2 linked regions of the Drosophila melanogaster genome follow. The protein of the gene in region 2 interacts with the protein of the main gene of each other region in a pairwise test. Each region holds a gene or a part of one and is shown on either strand. Other genes may lie near its edges.

The links.
Region 1: the proteins of l(2)34Fd (region 2) and Aatf interact in a two-hybrid assay, tested with the Drosophila melanogaster proteins (one large-scale study listed by BioGRID).

The regions. Positions count from the first base shown.
Region 1 is NT_033779.5:6,715,843-6,719,768, reverse strand, and holds Aatf (apoptosis antagonizing transcription factor), read right to left. Parts: upstream 2,145-3,926; 5' UTR 2,059-2,144; coding exon 695-2,058; intron 633-694; coding exon 530-632; 3' UTR 380-529; downstream 1-379. UniProt on the Drosophila melanogaster protein: May function as a general inhibitor of the histone deacetylase HDAC1.
Region 2 is NT_033779.5:14,352,783-14,356,708, forward strand, and holds the start of l(2)34Fd (lethal (2) 34Fd), read right to left. Parts: upstream 2,304-3,926; 5' UTR 2,216-2,303; coding exon 2,150-2,215; intron 2,092-2,149; coding exon 1,690-2,091; intron 1,637-1,689; coding exon 915-1,636; intron 855-914; coding exon 1-854.

The sequences.
Region 1 (3,926 bases), 7.6 Mb from region 2:
CGAGACTAGCAAAGTAAATGAATAAAAGTCAAGTATGTGCGTCTGCGGACAACTAGTATAATACATAAAAAAATTATTAAAATTAATTTATATTTATCGAACCGAATTAAAAACGCAACTCGAATGAAGACAGCAATAAATACATAACAGTACACAATCTCCGAAACACGATTACCCGCTAAACGAATCGGTTATGAAGCGGTAATTTCGAACGTTTGCGATTATATTCAAGCCATATTGTTATGCACTTGCTGCATAAATAACCCAGTTGAGAAGAAATAAGAATTAACGAAAATGAAATGTTGAACATACAAATTTAGCAGTTAAAAATAAATAACAAATGAAAATATAAATAAATAAATAAATATATAAAGTAAAGAACAATTTAAAATCGGTTTTCTTTTAATTTGATTTTTTTTGTTTAGGTATATAGTGCTACTATTATAATTCTTTTAAATGGCAATTAACAATTATGACATTTCATAGATTTTATTCCTATTTAAAACTTCATATATTAGTTTATTACAGTCTAGACAAACAATGATTTGTACAACTCGGACTTGGAGGCATCCGTCCAGTCGCTACTCTCATTGGGCGCCATGAAGTTGATGAGCTTGTTGTGCACCACGTATCTGAAAGTATATTTAAATGTTCGTGAGTAAATCTTGCAGATATATTACTCTGCTTCACGTACCGCAGCTTTCGCCCCTTGCTGGCCCTGGTGTCCACCTTCTTCTTCATCTTCTGGCGCAGCTTCTGTAGCTCCACGAACTGCTTGGTAATCTCGCTCATGTTGGACGAGGTGCTGGCCTTGTACTCGATGAGCTCCCGCAGCTGCTGGTGGTAGAAATCGCTGTCGTCGTAGATGTGCTTCAATCGCTGCACGGGCGTGTTTTCCTGCTGCTCCGCCTGGCTGTTCTTTGGGGTCTGGGACTTTTCCACGAGCGCCTCTCGGTTCGCCAGGGCGCTGCCGATCTTTTTGATGATGTCGTAGTCCTCCTGCAAGGACTTGCGTTTGACACCCGCTCCGGGGGTCAGGAGTTTCGTACGGTCGTCCCACTTTAACAGAACTTCATTGCGATACCCAATCATTTGTTGGAAATTGCTCTGCAGCACAGAACCAAACTTTTTGACCGCCGGACCCGAATCCTCTGTGGGCTGCTTGCGCTTCACCGACTTTTTCATCTCGGAGTATTGCTGGTGGAGAGCTGACTGGAGGGAGAGCAGTTGCTGCAGTAGCTTGGATGAACGCTCCTGGGCCTCGTTAAGCACCGACTGAAGCTCATCGCTTTCCGATGCCAGTTTCGTTAGAGTTTCCGGTGCAGGAAGCTGATTCGCTTTGCTGGTGAACTTTTGGGTGTTGATCCTTAGCTCGAGAAGACGCTCCCAGATGCGCAGCTGGTTTTGGACGGCAAGTCCTTTTTGGATTTCAGCTTGATGGTTGGTTTTGGACATTACATCCGAGGGTTTGATTGCGTCGTCTTCTGCTTCATCATCTTCTGAATCGTCGTCATCTCCTTCACTTTCCTGGCTATGGTCTTCTTCCTCAGAGTCATCATCCTCCTCCTCATCATCATCATACTTAAAATCTCCAGCCTCAAACTTTTTTTTAAAGTCTGTCAAATTGCTCTCAATCTCCTCACTTTCTTCACCAGATTCGGAATGTCCAGCAGCCGTTTCCTCCTCGGAGTCTTCAGCTCCTCCAGCATTTAACTTCTGCTTAAAGTTTGTCAAGTTCTCATCATCCTCATCGCTTTCTTCGTAGGACACCTCTTGTTCATCATCCTTATCCTCATCGTCATCCAACTCCTTGCGACTGCTGATCTTTCCTTTGTAGCGGTCACTCTGCTCCGAGAGCAGCTTGACGTTCCTCTTCCTAAAGTCGGTGCTCCGGGCATCCGGCAGGTCGTACTCCTCCTCCTCGAAGTCCACCAGACGTGGCCCTGTGGCCACATCGAAGTCCGAGTCCTCTGCGCTGTCGCTCTCGTTCGGATGGGCAAGCAGCTTGCTGACCTTCTCGGCCACCGTCTGTGGCTGTTTCTTTGACTTGCGCAGCATACTGCTAGAGTTTCATTTATAATTTCAAAACGAAAGACCTAGTTTACCACATGGACTGATTGCTAGAGGTGGATGAACATCGATGCACATTTCGATGATATCGATATTTTCACACTTCTTTTAAGCGGAGCAGTGTGACCGCTTACGCAAAGTTTGGTCGAATGCGGTAAAATCAAAAATTTAAAAATTTAAATGACTTCATTTTAAAATTGAATTTCCCCAAAAATTGTTAATTACAAAACGGTGTTAATTTGTTCCTAACACCACAATTATCCAACACCATGTTTATTGAATTTTAGAAAACTTTTTAAAACTTCAATATAGATTTTGTTTTTTAATTCGGCATTCCCAAACTTGTGTAAATGAACTCTCATATATACCCTGAAATATCAAGAATCCTAATGTGCTATAAGTGCTATAAATTCAAAAAAAGTTTTGTATTCAATCATACAAATATAAATAAAGGATGAAAAATGGGTGGAAACCTTACAGATATTAAGTCACTGCATACTTTTGGGCATTTGATTTAAGCCGCGTTGAGTGCAAGCGCAAATACGAAATTAAACGGCGCCCTTGAATGTGCCGTTTATTTCAGTTAGTGCACATTCTGCACGACCACTCATTAGAGCCGCCCCACCGTCGTCTTATCAGGTGCGCCAGGTGCATCTTGATAAGGCCGCGCTCACGCCACTTTCGTAGCATACAAATGTGCGCCGCGGAACGTGAACTTGAAATCCTTTTGTCCGCCCCGGCACGCTCATTAAATTTAATGAATCGTTTTGTCCAATTGCGTATCGTCCGGCCGGCATGAGGTTAAATTGTGAACCTTGGCAGTGGACTTGGCAGATGCCAGTGAAAACTCGACGGGATCAGAGGTGCGAAATCCGAAACAAAAAGGACATACGAGTGGGATACAGAGAGCAAAGTTTTGGGAAAGGAGGAAAGCTCGGAACGAGGCCTATAAGAAGATTCATGTAGATCACTTGTGCCGGCTGAGACGCGACTCATGCGGCAGATAAGGAATCGAAACATTTGGCGATCAGACGGACCACCGTTTGAACTTTGAGTCGTGTACACGCATTGATAATCGTGAAATTTATGCGGGCGGGACCTGAAAACACACACACACATGTGAAGTGTATTGGGGTCGTCCGCTGTTATCAATGTACCTAACATTGTATACCTGCTACTTGAAATTAGGGGTATACCAATATCGTGAGTCGTTTTGTAACACTGACGAAGGAAGTACCTTAAACTGGAATCTTACAGATTAAGAGGGCTCAGAGCTAAAGATAAATTCTACTTTTCCTATCCTTTGAGCAGCTATAAGAGTCATAGAAACGCATTCAGGTGTATAGTCCTTGTCCAAAAAGTAGGCTACGATTTCTACAGGAGGCCGAGGACCAGGTATTTGAATGGTCGGGAGTGCAAAAGCTTCCACTTGTCGCGCTCATCTTCCAGCTGTGTTATCAGTGGCTGCCGAGATCTCGAGTACGAGGCATCAGCATCCCAGGCAGGCAATCGGTTCAGTCAGTTCCTGCTCGTCGATCGGTGTGAGTGTGGATCTGGAGTACCGTTAGTCGTAGTCGTGTGTGCCGTTAAGAAGCTCTCGCATCGTCGATAGCGATAACTACGCGCGTGGGCGGTGGGCAGTGTGAACGGTGTATTTTCGTCGCTGCTGGGAGGTGTGTGCAAAATAGAATTTATTCAAATATATTCAAAAATCTCAGGTTAAAATCAGCTATATCTGTATAGTACACAGCAAAACACGGTGTGGCCGCGTGTTTAGAAAACGCAAAACAAAACGGAAATCGCAAAAAAGGAAGAAAAACAGAATGAAGAAACGTATATAATAGTTGTATATAGAG
Region 2 (3,926 bases):
GCTTGTTCACTTCGAATGTCATCTGACGATTGCCCAGGGAGCGACCCACATTGGTGACCTGGCCCTCCAGCTGGGACATGACCCTTACGCGATCCTGCAAGCTCGCTTTTTTGATGCGCTGCTGCAGTAGACTGCTGCCTTGATGTTGATCCAAGGGGGTCATGGTGAAACGGTTGCCATTGGTGGTGGGTTGTTGGCTGTGTCCATTCGTCTGCGGTCTTTTTGCGGTATCCGAAATTTCATCCGGCTGCTGCTCGTCATCTTCTAGCTCCTCCTCTTCCTCACGTTGTCGCTTCACCTGTTTGTACGCCTGCTTCATTTCCTTGACATACTCCCTTCGGTCATCATCGTCAGATGAGGCCTCATCTCCGCTGTCATCCTTCGTTTCGCCATCGCTCTTCTCGAAGCCAAATAGGTCCTCGTCATTATCGCTTTCCTCGCGCTGCTGTGCCTCGTCCGCGTGCAACTCCGCCACATGAGCCACCTCCACGCGCTTCTTGAGTTCCTTGGCCTTGGATTTATCCAGACGGTTCAGAACAGGAGCCAGCAGACGATACTCCTCGGCAGACTTGTTAACTTCAAAGTCGGCATTCTCAAACATGGCCTTGAAACGCGAGTCCTCCAGCAGGCTGGGCACATTTCGCTGCTTGGCACTGTTGGAAGGATTGGCTTGCTCGTCCATAATCTTGAGAGCCAACTCTTTGTTGACTTTGGGCAGCTTGGATTCGATTTGCAGGCGGGACTTGCGCTCACTTTCGATTTCTTGGCGGATCTTATCTTTGCGGAAGCGGTCGAAGGCGAAGGGTTCCACAACTGCCTTGGCTTTGTTGTACAATCTTGCGTCCATAAAGTATCTGTAGAATTTTTAGGTATTAGACAAGATCTTTACCTCTTCCAATCTTTTTCAAACTTACCCGTGCATATAACCCTTAAGAAGATTGCTGCCAACGAGATGCTCCATTCCCAATTCAGCCAGCTCCTTCGCTGTGACGAACTGATAGTCATCGTACACATTCTCCACGACCTCCGATTCGATCTCCTCGGTGAGGTTATCCAAGAACGAGCACCATCGGGGTGCTGGACCCATTGCAGGCACATAATAGGTCATCATCTTAACATCCTCCTGGGCTACGAAGAACATGCCCGTGTCGGGAATGGTGCAAAAATCGTTGAATGACGAAGTCGACTCAACGTAGGCGATCTGCTTGCCTGTCTGCTCGTCCCACAGCTTCAGTGTAGCCTCGTCCAAACTATAGACGGCATTCTGAGCCGGATTAAAGGCCAGACGCTTGATGGGCAGTCGATTCAGATGATTCTTCACCAGCAACGGTTGCTTGGCGCGAATGTCGTAGATCAGCACGTGTCCCGAAGCAGTTCCCACTCCCATGTGCAAGCCGTTCCGGAATTTGAGGGCCGTGACCGATGGAAACTCCTTGACGCCCGGCAACTTCATGGCTACATCCAAAGTTGAACATCGTTGCTTGGTACGTGGATCCCAGGCTTCTACGGTGCCTTCTTTGGTACCGGCTACCAGAAGATGGTGCTCTGGATTCACTTCACAGGCGTTCAGGCAGCTGCCATCCGTTTCAAAGGGTTGCAGGAACTGACCGCGCTCCAAATTGAGTCGGAAAATGTCCTGAAATCAAATCTTTAGAATAAACTAGACATTAGATAGACCTCAGTTCTTACCCTGCCCACTCCCACGATGAACATGTCGCAGCTGGGCTTGTGGTACTTCATGTCGCGTCCAAAGCGCGGTATCCTTAGTCTGTAGTGCCGCCCGTGGGCCGCATGGATCTCCACATAGCGATCGCATTGCAGGAACACCATCTTGCTGTAGTCGTCGCTAATCACCTCAAAGGTGGTCACCTCGGCGTCGAAGCAGCGCTCGAATTTGATAGACAGGTTGGACACCTCGAAGCACTTGACGCGCGGCTTGTAAGTGCCGGTGGCCAGGATGTACTGTTGGTCGGGACTCATGCGGATGCTGGTGCAGACGCCGGGCATATCGAAGTCCTGGATGAGCTCGATCTGTCTCCGGGAGTCCACTTTTTTCATGAGCTGTGACCGCTTTCGCCGATCCGTCAGCCACTGTGAAGGAGATACTCATGAGTTAACTGCTTGGCAACGGGTTTATCTTGCTACTCACATCTGGCACCGACTTGCCGGCGCTCAGGTTGTAGATCTTCACATCGTTAACTTCGTTTACGAACATCTTGAGGGACGATTTTTGCTCAAAATTAAAACATAAACAAACGAAGTCCGCAACACGTGCGCCCTCTATCGATAGACACGATTGTCGATAGCATCTGGCTGCGATAAGCACCTATCGCGGCAGTGTGACCCTTGGCTTGCCAATTGCTCAGTGTGACCGCAGGAAACCAAGCAAAACAAGAGAACGCAAAAGCAGTGAAAAAAGACTACTGATTTGCATCGACCTACCAATTGAAAATAATCGCAATAATTGCCTCTCGGTGCAGCCCCGCAACCCCGCGAAGCCAGTGTGCGTGCTAGCACGAAAGTGAACTGCATTTTGCATCGCCAAATTGCCCAAAAATTGCAATCGAATTCCGCACAGCCAAACAACAATACGCACACATACACACAGTACCCCCCGCTCTGCGTAACCGCCCTACGTTACACATTCCGTTCGCTCCCTAAGGTGGACTAAAACTAAAGTGATCTAAAACGGTGAGTAATATTCGTTGTTTTTCCTTAAGCCAATTAAACACTGATTAAATTATGCGAAATGGAAAACCGTCTGCGAAGGGGTGACGCAGTGCAGCTGTGGGTGCTCCGCAACTTTCCCTTGTGCTCTCGCTCTCTCTTGTTTTTGTCGTTAGGCAGCAGCACTCCATTGTTGTTGTATACACCCCCTGATTGCTTTGATACCCTGCAATGGGGAGTTACTGTTTTGTGACCAAGTTAAGAAAATAAATATGATTTACAAAAATCGATTAATTCTGGGGATGTTTCAGGTTTTTATGGTGTATAATTTATTTTTTGAATTTTTAGGGGATGGTGGGGCAAAAACGGCCGCCACTCTACTTAAAAATCGGTAGGTGAGGAGTTTGTTTAGTATACGCTATAAATAAATACTCTAAATTAGTTTTTATAAGATGGATTATTATATGAGTGTATGAGTTATCATAGAAATATTTACCTGTGCTTATATATTAATTTATTATATGAATTATGCAAACAAGGTTTTTTCAAAATGTAGGCGAGCATGAATAAAAAATTATAATAAATCAGAAGTTTTCTTAGTAGTTGTTATCAGTTATTAATATATTTCTTTTTCATTTTGTTGTGTCTTATTGCGTTGTTGTCTTCAATGCGGGCTTATTTTATTAGTTTGAATGGATGTGCGCTTATTTGTAGATACTCAAATATCAAATCGTATTCAGTTATATCTTAGAAATGGAATATAAAGCGCACATTTATAAAAGTATATTTATATTTAAGATTTTTTGCCAAAGGGTATACATACTTCGTCTGTGTATAAATATATATTTCTCATACTCCTTTCGTTATTTTCCCTGTTATGGGTGCGCCGCTGTGTTCCTTTTATGAGGGGCAATGATGATCCACTTCCATTCAACACATTTTGCAAATAAGTACATATGTACTTCGCCTCCATTGATTGCTCCACTGATGTTTGGCCTTTGGCGCTTGACTGATAAGACTCGAGACCGAGACCTACTACTTAGTTAGTCTAAACTGCCCGTCATAGAGCCTATTAAACTGATATGCACTTGTCACTTTGACAAGCAATGATAAGCGATTATAACTGTATTTGATGATTTAAGTATGAGCAATTAAGAATCCATAATTGATACTCATCTTTTCACACTATATGCTGCTAAGTCACATTCTTTTGTATGAAATTCATTCATATGAAGTAAGGCAGGATGATTACCCTAAAT